Saccharomyces cerevisiae S288C: one gene and its partners. The gene in region 3 interacts genetically with the main gene of each other region. Each region holds a gene or a part of one and is shown on either strand. Other genes may lie near its edges. The genes, in order: ERO1, ALG8 and KEX1.

Evidence for each region.
Region 1: mutations in KEX1 (region 3) and ERO1 together harm fitness more than expected from each alone (negative genetic interaction), as found in Saccharomyces cerevisiae (2 studies listed by BioGRID).
Region 2: mutations in KEX1 (region 3) and ALG8 together harm fitness more than expected from each alone (negative genetic interaction), as found in Saccharomyces cerevisiae (3 studies listed by BioGRID).

Annotation. Positions count from the first base shown.
Region 1 is NC_001145.3:11,372-15,071, forward strand, and holds ERO1 (ER oxidoreductin), read right to left. Parts: upstream 1,804-3,700; coding exon 112-1,803; downstream 1-111. Other genes in the region: COX14 (Cox14p), read right to left, coding at 3,170-3,382. UniProt on the Saccharomyces cerevisiae protein: Essential oxidoreductase that oxidizes proteins in the endoplasmic reticulum to produce disulfide bonds. Acts by oxidizing directly PDI1 isomerase through a direct disulfide exchange.
Region 2 is NC_001147.6:451,676-455,462, forward strand, and holds ALG8 (dolichyl-P-Glc:Glc1Man(9)GlcNAc(2)-PP-dolichol alpha-1,3-glucosyltransferase), read right to left. Parts: upstream 1,788-3,787; coding exon 54-1,787; downstream 1-53. Other genes in the region: VPS5 (sorting nexin 1), read left to right, coding at 2,093-3,787; VAM10 (Vam10p), read right to left, coding at 2,194-2,538. UniProt on the Saccharomyces cerevisiae protein: Dolichyl pyrophosphate Glc1Man9GlcNAc2 alpha-1,3-glucosyltransferase that operates in the biosynthetic pathway of dolichol-linked oligosaccharides, the glycan precursors employed in protein asparagine (N)-glycosylation.
Region 3 is NC_001139.9:112,602-116,388, forward strand, and holds the start of KEX1 (serine-type carboxypeptidase), read right to left. Parts: upstream 2,064-3,787; coding exon 1-2,063. Other genes in the region: ARO8 (bifunctional 2-aminoadipate transaminase/aromatic-amino-acid:2-oxoglutarate transaminase), read left to right, coding at 3,458-3,787.

The DNA of each region.
Region 1 (3,700 bases), on a different chromosome or scaffold from region 3:
TTAGTGGCCTAAATTTTCAAAGGAAAAATTTATTGAATATTTTGAATGATATTTAAACTCTATATTTTGAAATCTATACATTGAATACATATAAGATAAACTGTGTTGCTCTTATTGTATATCTAGCTTATAGGAAATAGGCTCTCGTGTCTCCTCACTAACGTAATCAGCAACACCGATGAATTTATTCCAAAATTTGTATACCTTCATCAAAGATAATTCCCAGATGTTCCTGGGTAAATCCAAATAGCTTCTATAAATAAATCTGAATGCTTCTAAAACGTTGTTAACTTCAGTATTCCAAGCTTTCTTCCATTTATTTACTGTACCGTTAGAGGGCCTTGGAACTATTTCTGCTTTGGGCATTTTTAAATCATCAAATACATGTGATTGAGAATTGTTAGTCTTTTTCTTTCCTTCTTTAGTGGAATTGATGTTCTCTATGGTGTAACGAATCGATTTGCCTGCCTCCTTCAAAATGTTGAAGAAGTTATTTTGGAAGAATGAGCTTAACCTGTTTTCAGAACCGTTTAACCTTTTCCCGTACATTTTTTCGAACATGTTAACAGATTCAATAGATTCAGATAATCTACCGAAAGTCTGTAATAGTGCAATCAACTCATATTTGGTTAACTTACCAACAATATGTTGTTTGGTGAATTCATCAGCGTCGTTGATTTCAAACAAAATTTTCAAGGCAGTTGCGTAACCGGTAGTTTGAATTTTGCCCCACAATCTACATCTATCACATTGCACACAATCCATAATCTTCGTGACATTCTTGAAGCGAGATCTGAATTCGTCCTTCAAAGTCAAACTTAGGTCGTTGGCAAAAACTAAGTCTTCGTTAAAAATTTTTGTGTCCAGCTGGGAAATAACGTTATCCATTTTGTTTTTGATTTCTTTATTGACTAGATCACAGAATGAAAATTCTGGTAAATATGGTTGAATTTTCCAGAGAGCCTTAGCTACAACAGCATAATTGAAATACATGTTTGTCACTCTATCAGGAAAGTTCCCGATTCTTGCCATAAACAAATCCAGATTGGGCTCCCATTTACCAGTTTTCGTGTTCAAATATTCCTTTGATAAGTGAGTACCGATAGAGGCATGGAAACCGGATACAAGTCTATAAAATGCATCTTTGGCCAATGATTCACCAGTTTCGCCAATTGTAAAACAGTTGTCTTGGTAGATAGTAGACCAAATTTGACCAGCTTGCTTACCACCATAACCTGTAAATCGTTCCGGATTTGCTGTTAAATCAATCAGAACGGCGTTTTTACCGTTAAAGTCATTTACATCACAGTAGTTGATGGTGTCTTCGATATCTACAGGTTTTTTACTGGTTTGACATAGTTGATCTAAGAACTTACATTCGTCATCGCTATCATCCGCTTCCTTCATTGTATCATTATTGAAACTACCCAAGATCTCAGGCTGCCAGTACTCAGGCAGTGTATCCCAGTCCTCTACGACATCAACAGAGCAAGCGCGGTTTAAGCACAGACCATCGTTGGCGTCCCAAAATGAACATTGCTTGTATAAATCCAGCCGAAAGTATTTGAAGAAATCAGATTTTAATAACGCCGAAAGATCATCTCTAATGTTTTCATTTATGGCATTTAATTCATTGAATGTTACGTTACAACTGGGACTAACGTGATCATTCCTGTCGACCTTACAAAAGTGAGTGTCATTAAAGGCATTTTGTGTTTGGTCGGTGGCGATGTAGCTATTGTTTGAAGTTGCAGATGTAAAAGCCGTGAGGCACAGTGTGGCAATGGCGGTTCTTAATCTCATGTTTTACCTGCACGTTACTGTGGTATATGCAATAAAATGTTTACACTCTTGAAATAGTATAACCAGTTTAAGTGGTAAACCTTTTCAAGCTCTTTATACTTAGCTTCAAGGATGATTGAACAAGTTTTTATGACACGTACTCCGTATCGTTTCTTTTTTGTTCTCTTCTTTTCTTTTTGTTCTTACTAACGCCCAAAGCCGGAAAAATGCGAAAAATTTCCAGGGTCTTCTATAAGAGAAACCAAAGGACAAAGGGAAAAGGACATACTTAGCAGGTAGCTCAATATTATTTGTTTAATTAGAACAGTCTTCTCTTTGTGTATGTCTTGTACCATTGTCTGTGGTATTCTCGATTTGTGTAGAATACATTTGCCATAAAATGTCAGTAGACCTTTTCTCTGATACGCAGTGAATATATCAATTCTCCTACATATCCTATTGTTCATTGAAAATATGAAAAGTAAGCATTACTCAATAGATAGATAAGAAAATGATCTCGTTTCAGTTGTGAATATGTTTCAGAAGAAATGTCTTGATAGTATTGGTAATGTAGGATGGGCAAACCATATGTAAGGTAGGTGGTTGGCAATTTACTTTTTTTGTGTTGCCAGTATGTATATATGCTTTTGGGGGGCCTTAATGTTTACCTTCAAGGTACGATATTTAGCAAGCATTTCTAGTTCTTTATGTGGTGAATAAGTAATGTGTGTGTGAACTATGGCTACTGGATGACTATATTCGGCATTAGTATTTAATAAGGGTACGACTCTGAAGTATCAGAGTTGCATCATTTCAGACACACTGGAGGGATCCTGTTATATATTTTGAAATAAATAATGTACAATTTTACGGGTGTACACAGCACAAAAAGGAACGTATTCTTACCGCCGTGTTCTTTCCATCACGAAAGTGACTTCATTGCGATGTATTTTTCAGCAAGAATTAAGGTAATAAGATCTCTTCACAAAGCTGACTCAAAAGGCCTACATAATGGCAGTAAGAAAAAGTAAACAGCGAGAAATAGTCAGATAAAAAACTAGATGGCGAATAGACGACATTTTAGAAGAAAAGTGTTTCAGCCTTTGGCCTCAAACCTCAGTGGCAGTCTTTCCCCTGATAAGGAATAGGAAGGCATGCAGCGATATATATGTTAGTTTTGCCTACGGGAATCCGGCAGCAATGTTATTTATTTTTGTTGTTTCTTATGATTTAATTATTATATACAGGTTCGTAAATATTGGCATGATAATGAGGAGAAGGTGGAACCAGCACACTACGTCGATGGAGGCCCTTAGAATATAGTGCAACACTTAAAAATGTAATCTAGTACTTTTTCTTCATTTTATTAGCACTGGGTTCTCGCAGTTTACTCGGTAGGAGGTGCAGTAGGACTTTGCAGTTGTTGATTGTCTTCTTCAAGTGCCTTTTGTTGGGTCACTTGTTGTTCGTACTTCTTACCGTTCATGTATAAAGTGTAAGCTAAGCCACCCGACATGTATAACGTACCACCAACCAACGTCAGTACCGTTAGACGATGTAATGTATCTGTAACTCTGGTATACCAAGCGTATTTGGACATGACTATCTGCGTTCTATTTTTTGTTCTCTTCCTCTCACCATTGCCAAACCGCTGTATAGATTTATGCTCCTTTCAATGCATTTATTCTGATCCTCTCCGATTTCGTATACCGGGTAACATTAATCGCAAGGAAGGAGAAGCAAAGCTCAGAAGTAAGGAAGAACTTCGAAATCTGCTTCCGAGAGTGAGGAAATAGTGTTTTCTAAAGAGTGTATTTCACAGTATGTAACATTATAAAGACAAAATACTTACTTAAGCAAAGTTATATAGAAGTGACAACGTGTTTTTTCGTTTTGCTATTAGCTTGTCCATTTTACG
Region 2 (3,787 bases), on a different chromosome or scaffold from region 3:
ATAAATAATTTTATATCACTTTTTTTTTAACGTCCTAGGGAAGCGATATTGTATCACTGCCATAGTAATTCGTCAAAATTATATAACCACGATAAGGCAAACCACGAGCTGATTATACCTAATGAACAATAGACACTATATATCATTAATCCTAAGAATTCAAATTTTTGCAAAAATGAATATCTCCACTTGACTTCATCCAATATTTGTAATACGGTGACGATTGGTAACAATGAAAAGATGTACGTTAATGCCAACCTATCCAAGAAAAAGATTCTTCTTTCTACACTTGAAGAAATCTTCGTAGTTTTTCTAAAAGCGGCAAAATAAATTATACACCAAACATAAGTGTATAATGTTTTAATGAAAAAATCTTGGCCTTTGTACAGAAGAGGATACAAGGAAACATAACCAGCTGAGGCAACTAACATAAACGGTACCAAAAGACGACGATCAAATCCAACAAGAAATGTGAACGGAATGATGACTAGCATTATAGCTTTCTCATGCACATGCCACCCGAACAAAAACGATGCCAACCCACAGAGAGTCAACGAGCCAACAAATCTTTTGAACGATGGATCAAACAAAAGTGGAAGTACTGCTAAGACCTGGTAAAATATCGTCAAAATAAACGTTAATTTTGGAGGAATTTGAGGGAGAATAACAAAAAATACGTCTTGAACTAGACCTTTACTTCCATTGTTGTTTGCCGCGAGCCTTTCATTAATTTCCTTGATATTCTGAGGGATCAGAGGAGGTTTAATAAATTTTGTAGCAAAAGTGTGGACGTACGGTAATTTCAACATTACCGTAGTGAGTATTTTATCCATAAAAGAATACAACGCCCAGAAATTTGGTGCCCAATATGCATGCGTCAGTCCTCTTGAGAATGGGAATAACCTGCTCAACACTTGCGGCATTTGATGAGCAAATGGAAGGAAACAAATAGTGAAAATTCCAACAACAACGGTAGCCAACTTCAAAAGATTTGCCCATCTTATCAGGAACAAAAAATCTTTGTAACTTTTAAACTTGAAATTGTTGACATTGAGAACGTATGCTCTCAATAAAAACACGAAATAACATGGCGCCAAATATAAAAATATATGCTTGAAACATATGGCTGTAGTATACAGAACAGCGCACAAGATGTATCTCTTATTCTTGGCGGCGACAATGGAGCCTATTAGAATCGCAAAAAGAAAACCATTATATTGGAAGTGAATGTGATCTATTATTAAAAACCCGGGTGATAGTACAATGCTAGAAGCAACCACAAAACTTTGAGATCTTTCACTTAGCTTTGTAGTATTAATGTATATTTGAAGGATGACAAATAGAAGAATTTCGCTGAAGATGACAGTGAGTCGTTGGAAAACGATTGTTGGCAAACCGAACTTTCCGATCTCCACTATATCCAAACAACCGTCATCACGTACAGATTTAGGAACAAATTGCGATAAAAACCATTCAAAATAAGCAAAAAATGGCGGATAATCCAATGTCCATTGACTAGTGTGCTCATAATACCATTCGCTGATGGGCAATTTATTGGTGATTGCCAGCCAATTTCTATGAACGTCAAAATCTGTACTGAAGTAGTCAGGAATCAATAGTAATTTTAAAAACAATGTGCTTATCCAGAAATTCCATAAGGAGTAGCGCTTGGATCCCTCACCTTTTTCGGTCGCGGCAGTCTTCAAAACCTTTTTTGGCTCGTCATTTTTTTTTAACTTTGCCTTCTTTGTCACAGCCATATTTTGCCTCGAACGATCACCTTTCATCGTAGGCTATCCAATAGACGTCAAATGCCTTGCTGACCACTACAGAACTGTAATGAACTTCAGCTATTTTTAACGTATGTTATTCTATAATTCTATACCACTATTGTCGTTTTGAAAAATGAAATTTCACTTTTCGGAAGTTGTCCGCTAAGAACAACTAAGTGATAACAGTAAATTTTAAAAATGCTTTGAAAAATGGGTTAAGCAAAGGTTATTTACTATAACTACGTAGTGAACGAAACCATATATCTCTTAATTTGCAGCAGGGATTTTATAAACTTTCATACATCCTGCAATAACAAGCCATGGACTACGAGGATAATCTAGAAGCACCTGTTTGGGACGAACTAAATCATGAGGGAGATAAAACTCAGAGCCTCGTTTCAAATTCAATTGAATCAATTGGTCAAATATCTACAAATGAAGAAAGAAAAGACAATGAGCTTTTAGAGACCACAGCTTCATTTGCGGACAAGATAGACTTGGATAGTGCGCCAGAATGGAAAGACCCTGGTTTGTCGGTGGCTGGTAATCCGCAACTAGAGGAGCATGACAATTCCAAAGCTGACGATCTTATTAATTCTTTAGCCCCTGAACAGGATCCGATTGCTGATCTCAAGAATAGCACTACACAATTTATTGCAACAAGAGAATCCGGTGGCGCATTGTTCACTGGAAACGCCAACTCTCCCTTAGTTTTTGACGATACGATATACGATGCTAACACTTCACCAAATACTTCAAAAAGCATCTCTGGAAGAAGATCCGGCAAACCACGAATTCTGTTTGATTCCGCCAGAGCTCAAAGAAACTCCAAACGCAACCATTCTCTGAAAGCGAAGAGAACAACTGCTTCCGATGATACCATCAAAACACCCTTTACTGATCCCTTAAAGAAAGCTGAAAAAGAGAATGAATTTGTTGAAGAGCCATTGGACGATAGGAATGAAAGGAGAGAAAACAATGAGGGCAAGTTCACAGCTTCTGTTGAAAAAAATATCCTTGAGCAAGTGGACAGGCCTTTATACAATCTTCCTCAGACAGGTGCTAATATTTCAAGTCCTGCTGAGGTCGAGGAAAACTCAGAAAAGTTTGGAAAAACCAAGATTGGCTCAAAGGTGCCACCAACCGAAAAGGCTGTGGCTTTCAAAGTTGAAGTTAAAGACCCGGTCAAAGTAGGAGAGCTAACATCCATTCATGTGGAGTATACTGTAATCAGTGAATCATCATTACTTGAGCTAAAATATGCACAGGTAAGCAGGCGTTACAGAGATTTCAGGTGGCTATATCGTCAATTGCAGAACAACCATTGGGGTAAAGTAATACCACCACCACCAGAGAAGCAATCAGTAGGCAGTTTTAAGGAAAATTTCATTGAAAATAGAAGATTTCAAATGGAAAGCATGTTAAAAAAAATATGTCAAGATCCGGTTCTACAAAAGGACAAAGATTTTCTACTCTTTTTGACAAGTGATGACTTTAGTTCAGAGTCTAAAAAAAGGGCATTTTTGACTGGATCTGGCGCTATTAATGATAGCAACGATCTGTCAGAAGTCCGGATAAGTGAGATACAACTACTAGGTGCAGAGGATGCTGCCGAGGTCTTAAAAAATGGGGGTATCGACGCGGAATCGCACAAGGGATTTATGAGTATATCGTTTTCATCACTGCCCAAGTACAACGAGGCAGATGAATTCTTTATCGAAAAGAAACAAAAGATTGATGAACTGGAAGATAATTTAAAAAAATTGAGCAAATCTTTGGAAATGGTCGACACCTCAAGAAACACCCTGGCTGCATCAACAGAAGAATTCTCTAGTATGGTAGAAACCCTAGCGTCTTTGAACGTGAGTGAACCTAATTCGGAACTGCTGAATAATTTTGCTGATGTTCATAAAAGCATAAAAAGCTCTCTTGAGAGAAGCTCTTTGCAAGAGACTTTGACGATGGGTGTGATGCTGGACGACTATATTAGGTCATTGGCAAGCGTAAAAGCAATT
Region 3 (3,787 bases):
TCTAACTGCTCATCTTGTTCTAAATCATCTTCTGCCCCGAGTCCGCTTTCCAGATCATCTGCCCATGAAACTGTCTTATTGGGACTGTCATGTTGTCTATTATTTGGATCAACTAAAATTGTGTGACGCGCTTTTCTCCTCACTCTTCTATCATACGCATAAACTCCTAAAACCACTATCAAAAATGTAACGATGGTAACTACTACCGCTTTGTGTTTATACATTGAAATCTCTTCTGCAAATTCTTCTACCTCTTCCTCTTCTTGTTCATATTCTGAAGATTTATGTCTACTATCCTCGAGGCCTTGATTACTTTGTTTTTCATTATTATCGTCTTCATCATCGTCATCGTCATCATCGTCGTCGCCCTCGGAGTTGTGATCGTCTTCATCGTCGTCATCATTGTCGTTATCATCATCGCCATCTTTATCTTTATTGCCTTCTTTTTCCTTTCCTTCCTCATTCTGCGCTTCCTGTTCTTCCTCTTCGAGGTTTTCTTTTGGCTTATCACCGCTTTCAGTAGTAGCATCTTGATCACTATCGTCGTCAGTAGTAATCATAACATTTTTCCCATTGTTGTCAATGATCATAACATCGTTCGAGTAAATATCGACAATGCCTCTACTCACTAAACTTTTATCGAAGGGTACCATGTGAGAAGCATTATAAACGCTAACAAACGTCAAATTTCTATCATACTTCACGTATCCGCTAAATTCTTCGCTGTCGTCTGTACTCTTCGATTTATGGATCCAATCGAACGAAACAGCATCGTCGCTAAATCCCTTTATTCCACCCCATTTTAGATTGTCTATAGTATCTAATACGCCCTTGTTATTACAAATCAAGTCTTTGTCACCATTGAACAAGACAATCTCTATTCCACTTTCAAGTAGACCAGGTAATAAATGGATAGATGGCTTTGAAATAGGATTAGACAATTTAGTTCCAACGCTATTAGTGCATTCCTTCCAATGATCAATTTTATCAGAATCAAGATGCAACGAATCAATAACACCAGGTGTGCTGAAGAATTTACTGACAAAGGAAATATCTTTCGGCCAATTCATACCACAAGATGGATAACTATCTTTTAAATTGAAGTTATACATGTTCAAGCAATCCGCTGTTCCCTTTTGCGAAGATTCCCTGGTATAAGACAATAGAAGGTTTAAAATATTCTCACATTCCTGATACGAAAAATGGGCTGCCTCATCTGTACTGGCAGAGTTTATCAGATTCTGGCAATTCTCGTGTGCGTTCGTTAAGTGTTTGAAATTGGGGTTGCTTTCATCAATCAGTTTCTTCTCCATAGCAAACGGAAGGTACGATAGGGACTGTGTATTGGGGTCAATCCAACCGTTACCAATCAATAGCGCCTTCAAGTCGTATGTATCCCCGTCGATCTTTGAAAATTTGTTATGGTTCAAAATTGCATTGGCAAAGAATGGTATGTATTGGCCAGCGTAACTTTCACCCGATAGTATGATTTTCCTAGTGAGGTCTTCTGGAAAAATCTTGAAATAGTTCTCCAGAAAATCCATAAAATGCTTGGTCACATCTTCTAGGTCTTCGTCAAATTTGTTTTTGTCGATTTTACCTTCGTCTTTATTTTGTTCGACAGAAAACCCAGTACCAGTAGGTTGGTCGATAAATAAAAGATCGCCTTTGGATATCCAGGACCCTTCATTTAGATAAAGTTTACCGTCTGAATTCACCCTAAAAGGGCCGGATTCGACCAAGGCACCATCCATGGAAGAGCAACCGGGTCCACCATTTAACCATATAATTAAGGGACGGTCGACATTGCCATTAGAGTCGTTATTGGTAAACTTCCAAAAAAAGTACTCCAAGTCAGAGCTATCCTGTTCATCCGCATCTTCGGAACGTAAAGGAATATGGCCAGCATGCATCTGTGGAATATTTGAAGGGTCTGGCACTTCAGATAACCCTGGCAACAGCTCATATGCCACTTTGTACTCCTCAGATGACGGAAGGGATACTGAGATCCTTATTAAAGCAGACATGGCTAGCCACGTTCCGAGCCACCTATTGTAAAACATCTATTCAGGTCTTTATCTCTACGGTATTCTATAGCCAAGGTACTCTTTAACCAAAGTATGCTTCAGCAAGCTTTTTCAAATAGATGGGAGTTGAAGACAATGATAAGAAATCGCTTTTCTTAATGTTTCCTATATTATCAAAATATTCCACTTTTTTTTCTTTTTCCACATTGTTTTTCGGTTCCGGGCTGCAGTAAGCAAATATAAATGTTGGTGACAAAACTTGAAAGTTATAGCCAAAAAGCTCGCAATTCCTCACCTAACAAAATGATCCTGTTGGAATAAAAATCAACTATCGTCTATAAACTAGTAGTCACACTACCAGTATATTATCATATACGGTGTTAGACGATGACATAAGGTATGAGAAACTGTCATCGAAGTTAGAGGAAGCTGAAGTGCAAGGATTGATAATGTAATAGGATAATGAAACATATAAAACGGAATGAGGAATAATCGTAATAATATTATGTAGAAATATCGCTTCCCCTTTGAGGATTCCTCTACCCTCGAGGAGAACTTTTAGTATATTCTGTATACATAATATTGTAGCCTTGATCAACAATGAAATGCCTACAATCATCTTAAAATTCACCAATCTCTCAGCTCTTATTTAAGCTTTGTTGAGACGAGAGTTAGTTATCCGACAATACTATACAAGACATTAACATCATTTTTCGTGCTGTTAGGGTGGTGTCTTTTCATTTGTTGCAATAAATGATAAGTAGTTTACCGTCCATTAACATGTGCATTAAATAATAGCATTATGTGAACATAATGTATATTTAACTAAAACTATTATCGAAGAAATCCGAAGAACTCATCCTTGTTAGCTCAGTTGGTAGAGCGTTCGGCTTTTAAGCGCATTTGCTTAAGCAAGGATACCGAAATGTCAGGGGTTCGAGCCCCCTATGAGGAGTTCTTCTTTATTTTTTTCCCGGTTCACTATTTTTCCAAGATTAAACATGGCTCATATACACCATCCAAAAATCTCTTAATTAACCTATAACCATTGTTCTCCTTCACCTCATTCAAGAATCTGGCTTCTGAATTGCCATTGATAGAAGAACAGTACTAAATTGCGCCGGAATAATGAAGAACATCCGGGTTACCTTAGATGTCTTTTTTTCCTTTTTTTATCACATTTTTCACTCTGCACTTTTTCACTTTCTCGAGGTCCAATCTATGACTAATATTAAGCGCATTTCATTTGAAGATATGTGTATCGCAATCTTTTTTCTTATCTTGTAGACCCTCCTATACACATCTCTAGACTATATATTTGGTTTGGTTATATCTTTAAGAACTTATTTCTTTTTCTTATTTTTCCATTCCACTAAGTTAAACCCTGCAGTTGATACAGACATTGAATAGGACAACCGATCGTTACTATCATGACTTTACCTGAATCAAAAGACTTTTCTTACTTGTTTTCGGATGAAACCAATGCTCGTAAACCATCCCCATTGAAAACCTGCATCCATCTTTTCCAAGATCCTAACATTATCTTTTTGGGTGGTGGCCTGCCATTAAAAGATTATTTCCCATGGGATAATCTATCTGTAGATTCACCCAAGCCTCCTTTTCCCCAGGGTATTGGAGCTCCAATTGACGAGCAGAATTGCATAAAATACACCGTCAACAAAGATTACGCTGATAAAAGTGCCAATCCTTCCAACGATATTCCTTTGTCAAGAGCTTTGCAATACGGGTTCAGTGCTGGT